Arabidopsis thaliana: one gene and its partners. The protein of the gene in region 1 purifies or fractionates together with the protein of each later gene. This does not show direct contact. Each region holds a gene or a part of one and is shown in the gene's direction. Other genes may lie near its edges.

The links.
Region 2: the proteins of AT2G44530 (region 1) and AT5G52490 fractionate together in Arabidopsis thaliana (co-fractionation; one large-scale study listed by BioGRID). This does not show direct contact.
Region 3: the proteins of AT2G44530 (region 1) and AT3G18790 fractionate together in Arabidopsis thaliana (co-fractionation; one large-scale study listed by BioGRID). This does not show direct contact.
Region 4: the proteins of AT2G44530 (region 1) and AT2G40650 fractionate together in Arabidopsis thaliana (co-fractionation; one large-scale study listed by BioGRID). This does not show direct contact.

Annotation. Positions count from the first base shown.
Region 1 is NC_003071.7:18,381,994-18,386,751, forward strand, and holds AT2G44530 (Phosphoribosyltransferase family protein), read left to right. Parts: upstream 1-1,521; 5' UTR 1,522-1,738; coding exon 1,739-1,834; intron 1,835-1,968; coding exon 1,969-2,145; intron 2,146-2,372; coding exon 2,373-2,621; intron 2,622-2,891; coding exon 2,892-3,035; intron 3,036-3,142; coding exon 3,143-3,310; intron 3,311-3,381; coding exon 3,382-3,451; intron 3,452-3,531; coding exon 3,532-3,613; intron 3,614-3,702; coding exon 3,703-3,862; intron 3,863-3,942; coding exon 3,943-3,981; 3' UTR 3,982-4,215; downstream 4,216-4,758. Other genes in the region: AT2G44525 (NADH dehydrogenase ubiquinone 1 alpha subcomplex assembly factor-like protein (DUF498/DUF598)), read left to right, coding at 137-309, 466-582, 867-901, 1,043-1,143, 1,241-1,327; GH9B9 (glycosyl hydrolase 9B9), read right to left, coding at 4,348-4,665.
Region 2 is NC_003076.8:21,297,299-21,300,773, forward strand, and holds AT5G52490 (Fibrillarin family protein), read left to right. Parts: upstream 1-1,558; coding exon 1,559-1,577; intron 1,578-1,813; coding exon 1,814-2,187; intron 2,188-2,269; coding exon 2,270-2,347; intron 2,348-2,439; coding exon 2,440-2,685; intron 2,686-2,779; coding exon 2,780-2,941; downstream 2,942-3,475. Other genes in the region: AT5G52480 (RNI-like superfamily protein), read right to left, coding at 1-196, 316-464. UniProt on the Arabidopsis thaliana protein: S-adenosyl-L-methionine-dependent methyltransferase that has the ability to methylate both RNAs and proteins. Involved in pre-rRNA processing.
Region 3 is NC_003074.8:6,475,658-6,480,106, forward strand, and holds AT3G18790 (pre-mRNA-splicing factor ISY1-like protein), read left to right. Parts: upstream 1-2,003; 5' UTR 2,004-2,195; coding exon 2,196-3,098; 3' UTR 3,099-3,102; intron 3,103-3,616; 3' UTR 3,617-3,925; downstream 3,926-4,449. Other genes in the region: ACT2 (actin 2), read left to right, coding at 1-331, 410-1,023, 1,110-1,175; AT3G18800 (uncharacterized protein), read left to right, coding at 4,089-4,449.
Region 4 is NC_003071.7:16,962,727-16,967,544, reverse strand, and holds AT2G40650 (PRP38 family protein), read left to right. Parts: upstream 1-1,746; 5' UTR 1,747-1,948; coding exon 1,949-2,238; intron 2,239-2,433; coding exon 2,434-2,555; intron 2,556-2,645; coding exon 2,646-2,736; intron 2,737-2,826; coding exon 2,827-2,947; intron 2,948-3,042; coding exon 3,043-3,116; intron 3,117-3,587; coding exon 3,588-3,957; 3' UTR 3,958-4,259; downstream 4,260-4,818. Other genes in the region: AT2G40660 (Nucleic acid-binding, OB-fold-like protein), read right to left, coding at 1-85, 211-276, 473-538, 693-863, 1,078-1,176, 1,472-1,534; AT2G40640 (RING/U-box superfamily protein), read left to right, coding at 4,347-4,752. UniProt on the Arabidopsis thaliana protein: Probably required for the first pre-mRNA cleavage reaction catalyzed by the spliceosome.

The DNA of each region.
Region 1 (4,758 bases):
TTGGTTTTGGAAATGAAATCCGATAACCGATGATGGTGTAGAGTTAAACGATTAAACCGGGTTGGTTAAAGGTCTCGAGTCTCGACGGCTGCGGAAATCGGAAAATCACGATTGAGGACTTTGAGCTGCCACGAAGATGGCGATGAGGTTGAAATCAATGGCGACTTTGCCGAAATTGATTCAAAGTATGAGAAAAGAAGTTCCGAAGCATTCTAATCCTGTTTTGCCCTCTCTGAGACGAGCTTTTTCCCTCTATGATCAGATCAATCTCATTGACAATGTTCCTGAAGACCAGCTTCGCTTCCAAGAGTAATCAATTCCAAGCTTTCTCTATTGTTTTTCGTCGTTGATTTTGTTTTTTACCGACTGTGTTTCTGGGTTTGATTTAATGAATGATTAGGGTTTTTGGAATTGGAAATGTATAAATATGTGGTGGTTGATTGATTCTCTTCACTTACTTTGCAGATTTAATGATACGAGTTTCACTGTGAATGGAGTCAAATACGAAGGTAGCTTACTCTGTGTTGGGAATCTGTTAATGTCATGGAGTCCTCGTAAATTTTCAGAGATCACCACTGATAGGTATCTTCTCTCTTCTCAGGCCTTTGATTCTCACCAATGTTCTGTCACAACCTTATATCGATTTGAGCTGATTTTTATGACTGTGTTTGAGTGAAAGTTGTGTGCTTTTGGCAATAGATTGGTTGAAGGTTTTCAATGTTCATTGTCATGAGAGGATTTGACAGCTTTATCAATTTGAAGTGTTTGATAAAACATTTGGTTTATTTTCGACAAGTGTTCTTTTTTTTTTTTGTCATTGAGAGCAATGGCTAAACGTTTGTATATTTCTATTTCCATGGATGCAGCTTGTCTATCTTCCAGACAGTTCGACCTATTCCAGGTAATAATATTTGTGTACCCATGAGTCATCAGTATGAAAATAAAACTGTATTAGTACCTCTGGTTGATTAACTTTTGCTGCATATTAGCTTCAATCTCAGCTCTTATTAGATATTCTAAACTAAATCATCGAATTGTCCAGAGCTCTTGATTGTTGGTTGTGGAAGAGACATTCACCCGGTAACTCCCGAGGTCCGTCAGTTTGTCAAGTCCCTTGGCATGAAACTAGAAACAGTTGATTCTGTAAGTTTCTTAATCCATTTCTACAGGCTTCTTTTCTAGTCCCAAGCTTACTTCATAACTTCTTATTCGCTTATTATATTGATTACTTTTAATTCAGAGAAATGCTGCATCAACGTACAACATTCTGAATGAAGAAGGAAGAGTCGTTGCTGCGGCATTGCTTCCATATGGAGTTACATCCTAAAGAAAACTAACAACTCGAGCTCTGGCTTTCTAAACTGTAAATGGTTTTTGAGACCTTCCGAAAATAAACCGAATTTCATCGGAGTTTTTATTGCGTTTGAGCTATATAACAAACGTTGTAACATGGTGCGACTTTATCTCGCATTTCTCATCCTTCCAAAGATATAATATCTCCAGAGACTATGTTGTATCAATGAATGAGATTTAAAGAATCTGAATTACAGTTATATTTTTAACGGAAATCGTTACGGTTAGTTAAAAACTTAGAAATGAGTTTTTGAGTATATAAAGGAAGAAGAAGAAGAGAGAGTCATTTTCTTGTAGTCAAATTCGTATCTCGCGGGGAAGAAGAAGAAAAGACTGCTTTTTCTCAAAACCCTAAAATCTCTCTCTCCGGATCCATTTCTCGAACATGGCGTCTATTGTTCAACCATCGCCTACTTTCCCGGCGCTAAATCTCCGGCGTTCTTCTCTGATTCGTCCGCCTTCTTCCGTTCGATTTCCTCTTGTAAGTCTCATCTACTTCTCTCACTCTCTCCGACTATTATCTTTCTATTGGTATTTGTACTTTATACGGTCTTCTTCGCTCGAATCTGATGAATCTTGTTCTCGATTGTTTCTGTTGGTTGTGGAATTGAAAAGAAGTGTAACGCGGCGGATCCGTACAAGTTCGACGGCGGAAACTCTGCCGGTTTCCATCTGCTTACTGGCGACACCGTTCCGGCTAGCTTTTCGAGGACACGTTTGGAAGATTCGATTTATCAGAACACCACACGACTTCGTATCTTTTCCGGCACTGCTAATCCTATTTTGGCTCAGGTTCGTTCTTAGCTTTGTTAGTCGTTGGAGTTCTTTGGATTTAATTGCAAGAATTAGTAGCTTGGAACTGAAATTAGTTTAGGAAGAAACTGATATAGACTTCGGAATTAGTAGCTTAAAACTGGAGATTTGTTCAATTGCAAAGATTAGGATTAGGAAGAAATTGGTTTAGAGTATATTCTGGAATCGTCTTGTTTGTTCATTGGTGTTTTACGCTGATGATACAGGAGATTTCTTGCTATTTGGGTCTGGACCTTGGGAAAATCAAGATTAAACGCTTTGCTGATGGTGAGATCTATGTTCAGCTACAAGAGAGTGTAAGGGGATGTGATGTGTTCCTTGTACAGCCTACATGCCCACCTGCAAATGAAAACCTTATGGAATTGCTCGTTATGATTGATGCTTGTCGGAGAGCATCAGCCAAAACTATCACGGCTGTGATTCCTTACTTTGGTTATGCACGAGCTGATAGAAAGGCAAGTCTTTTTCTATAACTATAGAATCTGTCTTGGATTCAATCGTCCTGTGAAAACATGCACAATGATTTGTCTCCAAGAGTAATCGATTGTCAGTTTAAGTCAGATCTATGGTAGTTAGTATTTGGAAGTAATCAAGTAATCAAATTGGCAGCTTAGTTATCTGTATGAAGCTGATTTGGGTTTATCGATTGTCTCATTCCTCTGGCTTCACTTAGTTTCTAGTTGAGAGTTTTTCATTTGACTCTTTCGTTGTACATATTCTTGCAGACTCAAGGACGTGAATCTATTGCAGCCAAGCTTGTGGCCAATTTGATTACACAGTCTGGTGCAGACCGTGTCCTTGCTTGTGATCTTCACTCCGGACAGTCTATGGGCTACTTTGATATTCCAGTCGATCATGTTTATGGCCAGGTAGAAAAAAGTTTTTCTTAAATGACTCCTCTGAGCATCAAGTTCCTTTTTGTGAAAATAGACTTTCTTATGTCTTCTTTTCCTTGTGCTTTAATATTCATGAACAGCCTGTCATACTTGATTACCTAGCAAGTAAGGCCATATCCTCTGAAGATTTGGTGGTAGTTTCACCTGATGTTGGTGGCGTCGCAAGAGCTCGCGCTTTTGCGAAGAAGTTATCTGATGCACCTTTAGCAATAGTTGATAAAAGACGTCATGGGCACAATGTTGCAGAGGTAGAAAAACCTTTGGAAAATACATTTTAACCAAGTCTGGATTTTGACATTTAACAACCCGTTTCATGTAGGTGATGAACTTAATTGGGGATGTTAAAGGGAAAGTAGCCATAATGGTGGATGACATGATTGACACAGCAGGTGAGTAATAAGTCACGGTCTGCATATCTGTAAACATTCCCCATTGTGCTTAGATACTTACGTTAGGTATATCATATCAGGAACCATAAGCAAAGGTGCGGCTCTGTTACACCAAGAAGGAGCAAGAGAAGTATACGCTTGTACCACTCATGCCGTTTTTAGGTAAGTCCATGAAATATTTTCTCTGTGTTGGAATTATAAAAAAAGAGAAAGAAGCTGACATATGCATTTGTGTCTATATTCGGAAACAGCCCTCCTGCAATCAGTCGACTATCGAGCGGACTGTTTCAAGAGGTGATCATAACCAACACGATTCCATTGTCAGAGAAGAACTATTTTCCTCAGCTTACAGTTCTCTCAGTAGCAAACCTTCTTGGGGAGACCATATGGCGTGTTCATGATGATTGCTCGGTGAGTAAAACATAAACACTACTTGCAATTTTCGCTTGAAGAGAACTTCTGTGTCTAATAAAGTTTTTTGATATTCTCAGGGAGCCATTGAGCCATTTTCGACGTTGGGGATTGATTGAGTGATGGAAAAAGGGTAAAGAATGTACTTATAGCCTCTCAGTAGTATGAATTTCTGATAATGTACAAACTCTTTTCCGCTGTAAAAATGTTAGACTTGAGTGTGATTGTCAAGAAGGGAACACTTTTGTAGAGAAGAAGATTTAATGGAACCACGTTTTCAAACTTTTTAAGAATACAATATTTTTTTTTTCGTCAATTTGGATCCAATCATGTAGATAGTTTACCGTTGAAGATTATTTATTTGTGAAATATCTGGATTTTATTTTATTTTATTTAAAGCCAAGTTACATTTAGACCTTAAACCTATGACTTATATAAGATATAAAGCAAACATACTCAAATTTGCAAAACGAGGAGAGACAAAATTAAAAAACGGCGGCCAAGACACCAACAAACGGAGCAACAGTAACCGTCGCAGGCTCAGCTTGCTGGAAATTACTCCTCTCATCTCCATAAACATCGTTCTCGTTGGGTCCTCCGACAAGTGCTCCCATTAAAACGTTAGGGTTTGGTGCAGGATTGTTATACCATTTATCATACCCTCCACTACACGTCACTGGTGTTTTGTCCTTTCTGATCGATACTATGGAGGCTGCTCTATGGTGTGGTTTTTTGGGATAATTGGTCCCAACTCCAACCATGTAGCTCATTTTCTGGGGGTTCGACCCAAGTATATAGTCAACCTATATAACATGAGGAAATCGCAAATTAGTATATATTATATTGAAAAAAGTCTTGATATATTTTCAACAACATGTTTTATAGTTGGTACTATA
Region 2 (3,475 bases), on another chromosome or scaffold:
TAAGTAAAAGAGGCGGTTTAGCATCAATGTCTTCAGATTTGGACAAGACAGCCCTGCAAGTTTCATAGACTCTCCTGACAATGATATTCCTGAAACCTCAAGCTCTTCAAGCATTGGAAGTTTCACAACTGCTTGAACAAATCCATCGTCTGTTATTTCTGAGCACATTAGTCTAAGGCTTCTAAGATTACTTGACCTACAAGTAATGGTGTGTAAAAAGTTATAAATCATAATCTTGAGATATCTGTTTTTAACAGACACTTGAAGACTTACATGAAAAGTAATCAAAAGTCAAAACTAGAATTAGAGGAGAACCTCTCCGCGATGTATGTAAGGAGAGAATCACTCCCGAAGTCCCCAATGTTGATCTCCAGCAAGCCACCCTCGCTACGATCAACGGCGTTACGACATATCGCCTCAGGATTGTTCACCAGTACTGGTTTGTTGTAACTCAAGATTCGCATGTCGATTTTACGCCATATGGATGGGTCTTTACAAACATATCGTCACGATCTACACACTTTCTGAGCGTTCTCCAGTATCTCAGTCACGCTAAGACGTAGCAGAATCAAACACATCAAATCCGTCGGAAGATCCGCCCAGTTTTTTGGCTCTTCGTTTTTCATCAGTGAAGACAGCGGATCCATTTCTGATGAGGATCAAAATGTCAAATCTGTGAAATATATATATCAGAAAGTCATTTAGTTTTAGGCCTTCTTTGATTATTTGTAGATTCTAAGTAGTTTTTGGTTTTAGTTTTAGGCCTTGAATGGTAGTAGATTCTAAAATGGTTTCTAGTTTGCATAAAAAAGTTTCCTGAAAAGCTAAGAAATCTAAATTTTTAATTTTTTATTAATTAATGAAAAGCAAAAAAAAAAAATCTATTTATGCAAACTAGACACCATTTTAGAATTTACAATCATTCAAGGCCTTAATTGTTTATTAACTAATGAAAAAAAAATCAATTTTATGAGTTTTTTGTCCAACTTCGTGTGATTTTTTTTCCTCTTCTTGTTTTGTTTAAACTAATGATTGTTTTGGACTTTAAAGTCAGAAGGCATCTCTGATTACTTGATCTGCAATATAAAGTTATAACAATAAGATGCAAAATTTTACAATCTAGTCCTTATGGCACTAAGTTTACGAAAACAATTCATGTCTAATAAGCCCATTACCTGAATTAATTATTGGGCCTTAAGCTCCTAATATTCTGACCTTTTGTATTTCAAAATCATGTATTCCTTGCATAACAAGAAATCTGATGGTGGTGATTCGATAAAAAGAGTTCGATAGGATCTGAAATCTTCCTACAAGAAGTAAACTGTTTAACAGAATTTGTTAAATGTAATAAATAAAAACTTTTCCATATTTATCGGAAAAATAAATGGAACCTTTCCAGCTTTCCTATACCAACTCCAAATTCCAATAGATAAACATTCTTAAACCCTAGCAGGGGCTCGATAAAAACTAAAAAATAAAAAAACCAAACACGAAAGCTGCAAACATCGATTAACATCAACCTTCTCTTTGTTGCTTTCGCTCTCGCTCTATAGCAAAGATGAAACCTCCCCAAAGAGGTTAGAACCCTAGCAGCCGTTTTGTTTTACTACTTGTTTAATTTCTCTGTTCGACCTATAGTATAGGGTTGAGGGTTGTTAACTCCAAATTCGTTTTGTCACAATATATCTACCTGAATTGCTTGTTACGTAAACTGTTTTGAGTCTTCACTTCTTCAATCCAAGTTTAATAGGAGATTTAATAATACTCTCTTCTGATTAGTTAATTTCGGTTTTATCTGTATGATTATGCTCAGGACGTGGTGGTGGTGTTAGAGGTGGAAGAGGTTTAGCCAGAGGCGGTGAAGGAAGTGCCGTAAGAGGCAGTGGAAGAGGCGGCGAAAGTGGCCGTGGAAGAGGGCCTGGAAGAGTTAAAAGTGAATCGGACGGTGGAATTAAGGGAGGAAGCAAAGTGTTAGTGACACCACACAGGCACGCAGGAGTGTTTGTTGCCAAAAGTAAAGCAGATGCTCTTGTAACCAAGAACTTAGTTCCTGGTGAAATCATTTACAATGAGAAGAGAATCTTTGTTCAGAACGAAGACCGATCTACTGTTGAATACAGAGTTTGGAACCCTCATAGATCTAAGTTAGCTGATGCTATTACCACTGGTGTTGATAACATTTGGATCGTAAGTCCCATAACTTAAAGTAACAATCTCTTTTATTCTTCTGTTACCGAAACTAATGAATACTTGTTTCTTGAAATTGTAGAAACCTGGTGTTAAAGTTCTGTACCTTGGTGCTTCTTCTGGATACACCGTGTCTCATGTCTCTGACATTGTTGGTCCAGTAAGTGAACACTAAACCTTAAACCCTAACTTTTAAGATTGAGTGAGTGTTTTCTCTCTATGTTACTTATATCTAGCTTTTCTGATTGGTAGGAGGGATGTGTTTACGCTGTTGAGCATTCTGATATTTGTGGTAAAGTTTTGATGAACATGGCGGAGAAGAGAACTAATGTTATACCAATCATTGAAGATGCTAGACATCCTGCTAAATATAGAATGCTTGTGGGAATGGTTGATATCATATTCTCTGATGTTAATCACCCTGAGCAAGCTAACATATTAAGTCTCAATGCTTCTTATTTCCTCAAATCTGGAGGGCACTTTATGATCTCTATAAAGGTTTGTAACAAAACTTTTTTGACCATTGATTCAAATCAAAATCATTCTCTTTTTAGTGTGCATTGTTTGGTTAACTCTAAGTTACTTGTTTCAGGCGAATTCTATAGACTCAACAATTGCAGCAGAAACTGTGTATCAGATGGAAGTGGAGAAGTTACAAATGGAAGAGTTGAGACCAACAGAGATATTGCATCTTGACTCTTGTGAGGAAAAGCATGCTTGTGTTTTTGGTGGATATCGCTTGCCTAGGAAGTAAAAAGCTGATACTGCTATCTAATTAGGAAGCTGATACTCTTTACTTAGTTTGTGATTGTTAAAATTCATACACATTCATGAGGCTTTAAAATTATTATTTTTCTCTGATTCTCACTGTGATTTGTCTTCTAACTAGTATGAGTTTTAAGAAGTTGAGTTTTGCAAAAACAAAAGGTAGAATACACATACATTTTGAGTTGAATTCTAGTATTTATATTTTGGTTTGTTTTATCGAACGTGGAACTAACACAACGTTACATTGAAGAATCATTCATTGTGATTTGAGATTTTCAATGTGATTTTAAAAGTTTGTTATCGATAATATGATTTTGTGGAAGTGTAATTTCAAATTTGTAGACAGAAAGTGAAACTCTGCTTGTTCATCAATTTATGTTTCCTTAGACATAATTGATAAATACATTGTTTTGTGTTTATGACAAAGAGAAGACGATAATTAGCTGAAAATAATCACATTATTCAAATATGTTCCAAAGAATAAAATTTTTGCACTATTTGCTATTTTCAGTTCTGCCTT
Region 3 (4,449 bases), on another chromosome or scaffold:
CATCATGGTGTCATGGTTGGGATGAACCAGAAGGATGCATATGTTGGTGATGAAGCACAATCCAAGAGAGGTATTCTTACCTTGAAGTATCCTATTGAGCATGGTGTTGTTAGCAACTGGGATGATATGGAAAAGATCTGGCATCACACTTTCTACAATGAGCTTCGTATTGCTCCTGAAGAGCACCCTGTTCTTCTTACCGAGGCTCCTCTTAACCCAAAGGCCAACAGAGAGAAGATGACTCAAATCATGTTTGAGACCTTTAACTCTCCCGCTATGTATGTCGCCATCCAAGCTGTTCTCTCCTTGTACGCCAGTGGTCGTACAACCGGTTAGTACATTTTAGGCTTTTTGTTTATACTCATTGATCATTATTTGAACTGAGCTCTGATTATCTTCCATTGAACAGGTATTGTGCTGGATTCTGGTGATGGTGTGTCTCACACTGTGCCAATCTACGAGGGTTTCTCTCTTCCTCATGCCATCCTCCGTCTTGACCTTGCTGGACGTGACCTTACTGATTACCTCATGAAGATCCTTACAGAGAGAGGTTACATGTTCACCACAACAGCAGAGCGGGAAATTGTAAGAGACATCAAGGAGAAGCTCTCCTTTGTTGCTGTTGACTACGAGCAGGAGATGGAAACCTCAAAGACCAGCTCTTCCATCGAGAAGAACTATGAATTACCCGATGGGCAAGTCATCACGATTGGTGCTGAGAGATTCAGATGCCCAGAAGTCTTGTTCCAGCCCTCGTTTGTGGGAATGGAAGCTGCTGGAATCCACGAGACAACCTATAACTCAATCATGAAGTGTGATGTGGATATCAGGAAGGATCTGTACGGTAACATTGTGCTCAGTGGTGGAACCACTATGTTCTCAGGTATCGCTGACCGTATGAGCAAAGAAATCACAGCACTTGCACCAAGCAGCATGAAGATTAAGGTCGTTGCACCACCTGAAAGGAAGTACAGTGTCTGGATCGGTGGTTCCATTCTTGCTTCCCTCAGCACATTCCAGCAGGTAAAAATTGATCAGATTTTGTTTCGAATTCTCTTACATGCAAATTGAAATCAAAGGCTGATTATTTATGTATATGTTGGTTACAGATGTGGATCTCCAAGGCCGAGTATGATGAGGCAGGTCCAGGAATCGTTCACAGAAAATGTTTCTAAGCTCTCAAGATCAAAGGCTTAAAAAGCTGGGGTTTTATGAATGGGATCAAAGTTTCTTTTTTTCTTTTATATTTGCTTCTCCATTTGTTTGTTTCATTTCCCTTTTTGTTTTCGTTTCTATGATGCACTTGTGTGTGACAAACTCTCTGGGTTTTTACTTACGTCTGCGTTTCAAAAAAAAAAACCGCTTTCGTTTTGCGTTTTAGTCCCATTGTTTTGTAGCTCTGAGTGATCGAATTGATGCCTCTTTATTCCTTTTGTTCCCTATAATTTCTTTCAAAACTCAGAAGAAAAACCTTGAAACTCTTTGCAATGTTAATATAAGTATTGTATAAGATTTTTATTGATTTGGTTATTAGTCTTACTTTTGCTACCTCCATCTTCACTTGGAACTGATATTCTGAATAGTTAAAGCGTTACATGTCTTCCATTCACAAATGAACTTAAACTAGCACAAAGTCAGATATTTTAAGATCGCACCATTTTATATAACCCCAATCGTCAATTCTACTGTTTCAAGTTTTACACCAAAACAATTACGAGGTGTATCTATTCGTTACTCTTTTCGCTTATTAATCCTTTTACATGATGCAAAATATAACAAATTAATTTCAAATTGTCCTGCACATTTGGTTTATACATCTTGATTCCAAAAAGTCAACTCGTTGAAGAATTAATCAATACTCGAAACGAGTCTTCCTTGGGCCCTAAAATATTGTCCTATCTAGTTGATGCTTATATAGCATATATGGGCTAATAAATTGGGCCTTAGCTTTGGAAAAGGACGTAGAACTTGAAACAATTTTTATTTTTCTTTTTCCGGCGAAACAATTATCTAATTACCAATTTAACCCCAATCCTTTCTCAGTTTCTCTCTTCCGCGTCTCTCCTTCTCGTTATCCTGCAAATTAGGGTTTAAGTAAGAAAAAAAAGCTAGAGAAGTATCTCGATCTCTTCTTCTGTTAGATTCTGCTTTCCTTTGAGATTTGCTAGTGTAATCGTAACCTCCGAAGACCCAAGATGGCTCGTAATGAAGAGAAAGCACAGTCGATGCTCAACAGATTCATCACCCAGAAAGAATCTGAGAAGAAGAAGCCAAAAGAGCGTCGACCTTACCTCGCATCAGAATGTAGAGATCTAGCTGAAGCAGACAAATGGAGACAGCAAATTTTGAGAGAGATCGGTAGCAAAGTAGCTGAGATTCAGAACGAAGGATTAGGAGAGCACAGACTTCGAGATCTAAACGATGAGATTAACAAGCTTCTCAGGGAGAGATATCATTGGGAGCGGCGAATCGTTGAGCTAGGTGGTCACAATTACTCGAAACATTCGGCGAAGATGACGGATCTAGAAGGTAACATAATCGATGTACCTAACCCTAGTGGTCGTGGTCCTGGTTATCGTTACTTCGGAGCTGCTAAGAAACTTCCTGGTGTTAGAGAGCTTTTTGAGAAGCCTCCTGAGCTGAGGAAGCGTAAAACTAGGTATGATATATATAAAAGGATTGATGCTAGCTATTATGGGTATAGAGATGATGAAGATGGTATTTTGGAGAAGTTGGAGAGGAAATCTGAAGGAGGGATGAGGAAAAGATCGGTGGAGGAGTGGCGGAGATTAGATGAGGTTAGGAAGGAAGCTAGGAAAGGTGCTAGTGAGGTTGTGAGTGTTGGAGCTGCAGCTGCTGCGGCGAGGGAAGTGTTGTTTGAGGAGGAGGAGGATGTTGTTGAGGAGGAGAGGATGGAGAGGGAGAAAGAGGAGGAGAAAGAGAGGGAATTTGTGGTTCATGTTCCGTTGCCTGATGAGAAGGAGATTGAGAAGATGGTGTTGGAGAAGAAGAAGATGGATCTGCTTAGTAAGTATGCTAGTGAAGATTTGGTTGAGCAGCAGACTGAGGCTAAATCCATGCTCAATATTCATAGATAGAAAGGTGATCATCTCTTCTTGTAAGGCTTTTTAATCATATCATAGTATAATTTTATTGTCTGTAGTTTCTTTTGCAGTTTTTGATCAGAAAATTGACTGAACTGCTGTGTGTTTTAAGAAATTTCGATTAGAGGAATTCTAAAAATTTGTTGATGTTTCTTATATTATTACATCCTAGATTATGATCTTAGAGAATTTGCTAGATCTTGATTTATATTTCCTTAGTAGTCCTGGTCTGTTTGAGAGTATGATAAGGCTTCTGTCGAGTAATGTCATAAAGCGCGATCAATCTATAACAACAACGTACATTCTTGCTTCATTAATCAAGAGTTTCACTGACCTGAGTAATTGACCTAGTACCCTTGTATGTGGAGCTTAGATTTGCAGAAACTGTTATTTCAATGGGACATACTTTAGTTAGTGCCTTAGTGGCATGCATTAGGATGCGAAGGAATTCGTATTATATCTTCTCTTGAATTGAATCTGAGAGGCTGATACATCATCTCTATGCTTCTCAGATGCTCTGTTTTACCAACAAACTCAGCCGCGATGGTCTCTTGCCTAAAGAAGAAACGATGTTGGGCGTTTGAAATATGATTTCATGGAAACAAATGTGAAAGACTCAAGGAGAAGATACAATGTCACTTGGAACTGAACTAGTGTATTCTATTATGTAGCTCGACTTTTGTATCTTTATACTTCTGAATGTAATGCTCATTGCCTGAGGTTTATACATTGTTCCTTTGGCTCTAACTAGATTGGTGCTATGCAGAGACATAAGTTGAGACCAACCACAAGCATTTTTCTGGTTTTGATTTTACTCCCAGTAAAATATTTATTGAGTACGGACAAAACATCAAAAATCAGAACAAGACCGTTGAGATGGATAATACTTGTCTAGAGATACGAACCACACCCACATGTTCCTACACACAATCCCCAAACCATCTCTCTAACCAATAACACTTTTTCTCTCTTCTCAGTCCTTCAATGGCGGACTACGACGACGAAATTGACCAGAATAACCAACCTTTCATCCCCAAAGAAACTGCTCTACAAGCACTAAACTCAATAATCCAGCTCCACTTCGAGAAAACCTTAGAGAAGAAACGAGCCATTGACCACCAGAAGAAGAAGCTCCACAAGCTATTTCAGCTCTTCTTCATCTTCCTCGCCGTAATCTTCTTCTCCCTCTCTCAACCCTCAGGTCGTCTTCACTGCCGCCATTGCTGGGCACCCATCTGCCTCCTATCCTTCTCTCACCTCTTCTTCTACGTCTCCGTCGCTCAAACTCTCCGTTGCATCAACGGCTTCAAGTACCAGCGTCGCTGCCATAAGCTCACTCTCGGTC
Region 4 (4,818 bases), 1.4 Mb from region 1:
CATCTGGCTTGTCAACAGGCTTTACACCTTCTGCAGCTTTTTTTGAATTAGAATTTGTTTCCACCTTAATGGCAGGTTTTGGTACCTACGTTTAGAATAAATGAAAAAGATCAGAAAACCATTTTCTCATCGCATGTAATACATCTGAAAAAAGTAGCATGTTATTATTGTTTCTCAGTCTAAGAAAATGGGTATGAAAAGATAATTCACCTCGAAGCTAAATTCTGGTAGCTTCACAGGTATTGGTGCAAATAATGTCGACAACTCTTCTTTATTCTGTAAAATAATACGCAGCATATATTCGTAAAGCAGACAATCACAAGGAAAGAAAAATGTGAAAGGTGATGTTCAGAGAGTGCATATCTAGCTATAGTCACTAACGCCGTTACGCGTACACATAAAGTAGTCCTCCATGGATTTACAGGCTACCTCGGCGCAATCAAGTAACAAAACTTTATGATGTCGAACTTACCTGGATGTAATTCACCCATCTTATGACATGTGGTACTTTCTCCTTGTCTGAATCTGAGAGGCCAAGCTGGGAACAGCAAGTCAAACAGATAACAGTTAGTATTTAATACCTTTAGTCATCAGTTTATGAAAATTTGATCGTAGCATCTTTATCAAGTAACATAAAATTACTTATACAGGAACGAAAAATAAGTAGACTACGGAATATAGAGAAGTGGTACCACTGAAGAATGCAGAGCTGAAAACACAGCAACATCAGCTGCCGATGGCGTCAATCCGTTTCCCAAGAGCACTGACTTGGTAGCTAACTCTAAATTCAACTTTTCAAGAGCTGAAAACCAATCCTTTGAATCTGAAGAGAAACCTTCCGCAAAATCTAGCCACTTCAAAACCTGAAATAGGTTTTTACTCTTTAAAATGTGAAACAATGACGCATTATGCAAACGAAAGCCAACGAATCCTCATCATTTAGCATTACACAGAACTCAAACATACTAATTCATTTTTTTTCTAACGTGGTAGCAACGAGAAGGGAACTCAATAAATTCCCAGTAAGAGTTTGGCGTTTATGTCTATAGGAACCAAATTCAAGAAGAAACGACTTACATCGTTGTTTTGTGCAGATACTTCCTTTCCAGATGCCTTCAATACATTAGAATAAAGTGTCTTGATATCACTTTCACCCGCTCCGCCCACAAAAGGTTCCTAAACAAATGAATCAAATCAATTTCAGAAACAGAACCAATAAATCATCACAATGTAAAATCATAAAAGCCAATTTCTAAAGTTTTTTCCTTTTTCATGACCAGCTTGATGCATAAGCGTAAACACTGATAAGTCCAAAACATAAACTTTCTAATTGATTTCAGTACCCAATCAGATAATGTTCGAGTTTTCTCCACTAACTAATTCAAAAAATGATCATACACATACTCAGCTACCAAGCAAAACCTCACAAAAAAGCAGAAGCTTTTGAGATGTCATCTTCTTCAATACTTACAGGATCCAAAGAGAAGTGTTTGCAGAGAGCTGAAAGAATCATCTGCTTCGCCTTTGAATCCATCGTCAACTTCTTCTCTTTCTCTATTTTCGAAATTTTGTTCTTCTCTTTGGGGCTCTTCGCTGTAAGAAAACACACTGCAATTTCTTCGATAGGGTTTTTGCTTGATGTAACTAACGGTCCTAACGGACTTCCAACTAACGGCGTTATCTCCATCTATAATGGGCCTAGATATATTAGCAGCCCATTAATATGTTCTTACTATGGGCTTTACCACCGAAAGCAATCATTAATAAAATAAAATAAATGAATTAACTTCTCAGATTCTTCAAAGACCTAGAGTGTCTTCGTCTTCGACGACGGCAAATTCGTGGAAGCTGTTTCATCGATTCCGGCTTCACTGAAGCGGCGTCGCTCGACGTTTATTATTCCGACGACTAGGCCTTTGAGGCAGTTTCTGATTAACTTCAGGCGATAATGGCAAACAGAACAGATCCGTTGGCAAAGAATATAAGAGGAACGAATCCGCAGAATCTGGTAGAGAAGATTGTGCGAACGAAGATTTATCAGCACACCTTTTGGAAGGAGCAGTGCTTTGGTCTCACGGCGGAGACATTGGTGGACAAAGCTATGGAGCTCGACCATCTAGGTGGTACCTTTGGTGGTAGCCGCAAGCCTACTCCGTTCCTTTGCCTCATATTGAAGATGCTTCAAATCCAGCCTGAGAAGGAAATTGTCGTGGAGTTCATAAAAAATGATGACTACAAGTAAGATTTCTAACCAAAAGCTTATTTCTGCGTAATCTAGATTGGATACTGCTATTAGCCTTGTCGTAGTTGTTTCTCAAGTATACAGGTATGGAATGTCTCTCAAATCTATTGGTCTTAGATAATCTACTCTCTTAGTTTCTGCAGATATTTGTTCTTGAATTACTGAAATATTTACTCTTTTGGTTTCTGCAGATATGTTCGTATTCTTGGTGCGTTCTATCTGCGTCTCACTGGGACTGATGTTGATGTCTATCGCTACCTCGAACCTCTCTACAATGACTACCGGAAAGTGAGACAAAAGTTATCTGATGGGAGTAAGTTTCATTTTCTTTCGATGGATCCGTTGTGTTTAACTTTTGATTGATTTGTTCACTAACTAGATTTATTTCTTTGGTTTGGAATAGAGTTTTCGCTGACACATGTGGACGAAGTCATTGAGGAACTTCTAACCAAGGATTATTCTTGTGATATTGCAATGCCACGTTTGAAGAAAAGGTTTCTTCTTTTGCATTTGTCTGAAGCTGAATAATTAGTTTTTGGTTTCTGCAGTATTTTAAGATGGTTAATTTTTCACTCTGATGATAGGTGGACGCTTGAACAGAATGGTTTATTAGAGCCAAGGAAAAGTGTTTTGGAAGACGACTTTGAAGAAGAGGAAGAAAAGGAGGAGAATGAAGGGATTGCTGATGGATCTGAAGATGAGATGGTCAGTGCTTTCATTCTGCAATAGTTTTTATGTGATCTGTTTTCTGTTTCTATCTAGCAGCTCTAAGATGATACCATCTTCCTCCTCTTTTACAGGATCAGCGCCGTAAGAGTCCTGAAAGAGAAAGAGAAAGAGACAGAGACAGGAGACGCGACAGTCATAGACACAGGTATCTGAATCCGTGACCTTTACTAGATACATTTCTATGCTAGTTAACATTTTTCAAAAAAAAATTCTTTGTGATTGTGGAAGCTGTTTGATCTAGCTAATGCTCTTGCATCATGTCTAGTACTCTGTCTTTTGAGTGTCTGTTTCCACTATGGCATCTCAAGCCATCAGCGGTTGGATACAGCTTCCGAAATTAAATTTGTAGAGATCCTTCCAGGTTTCTCTGTACTGACAGTGTTCAGAGAGAAGTATTATGGATCAGACATTATTACAATCCTTACCCTGATACAGTATATGGTAGTTGTCATTGTGTTACTTTGAAAAAGATCAGTTAATCATGAGAGCACTTCCCATCTAGTTTTTAGCTCAATCAATGTTTTCTTTTTGTTACAGATTTTCATTATGATTGATGTTGAGACTTGAGCTCATTGTTTCATGAATTATAATTTGACCATGGTTCTGTGATTGGCAGGGATCGTGATTATGACAGAGACTATGATATGGATCGAGATCATGACAGAGACTATGAAAGAGAACGTGGGCATGGTCGAGACCGGGATAGGGAGAGAGACAGGGATCACTATAGAGAGCGAGATAGGGACAGGGAAAGAGGCAGAGATAGAGAACGAGACAGAAGAGACAGGGCAAGGCGCAGAAGTAGAAGCAGGAGTAGGGATCGTAAGAGACATGAAACTGATGATGTGCGGGATCGGGAAGAACCTAAGAAAAAGAAAGAAAAGAAGGAGAAGATGAAGGAAGATGGAACCGATCATCCAAATCCTGAAATTGCAGAGATGAATAGACTGAGAGCATCACTGGGAATGAAACCCCTCAGGGACTGAACTGTGAAATGAGGACATCTTTATCAAACCGAAACTTGGTTCATTTGCCCAGCTAAACCGGTTACTACACTGTGATCCTACTCACTATAGTTTTGGTTTTTTTGAGTTTACCTGATCCCTCTTTAATGTAGAACAAAATGGAGAATCTGTAATGGCATTGTACTGTATGTTCTCTAAACCGTAAACGAATTGTGGTCGAGAAATTCTGAATGTAACCCGGTTCTTGATATTAGTTGTTTTTAAGGTAATTCAGATAAATATAAAAACCTATATGTTATGTCTACGTGGCGATATCACTTTATGAGTCCATGTAAATCGGACCCACCAAAAGCTTATAGGTAAATGATACGGTTTCATAATCATTAACCATCACGACGCGCGTGCTACTCATGTCCCACTTACGACGACGTCGTTTTAAACTCTCTCTCTGTGCTCTTCCAGTCTCTATCGATCGCCTTCTGAATTTTCCGGCGGAAAAGCAAATGTCCGTTAACGACAGTATCGATCCTCGGTTCGTATTCCACGTTGAAGATGAATCTTTGCGTTTCCGTGTGGGAGATTCAGGTACTAAGATCCGGGAGCTCGAAACCGTCGGCGATCGCCATTTCAGAACCCAGCAAGGTTTCTGCGGAAATAGAATTGAGAAAGATGAAACCATGTATTCCGATGGAGATGATGAAGAGTACGACGTTTCTATCCGAAGACGAACTGCTCTGATTCAGCCTGGTATTGATTCCGGTAACAATTATGATTCTGCTGCAGCTGAAGAAACCAACAGAGAAAGTAAAAATCCAGGTATAATAATACTCTACATTACTTCTTTCACGACTACCGGAGATTCCAAGATTGTTGAAGCTAACG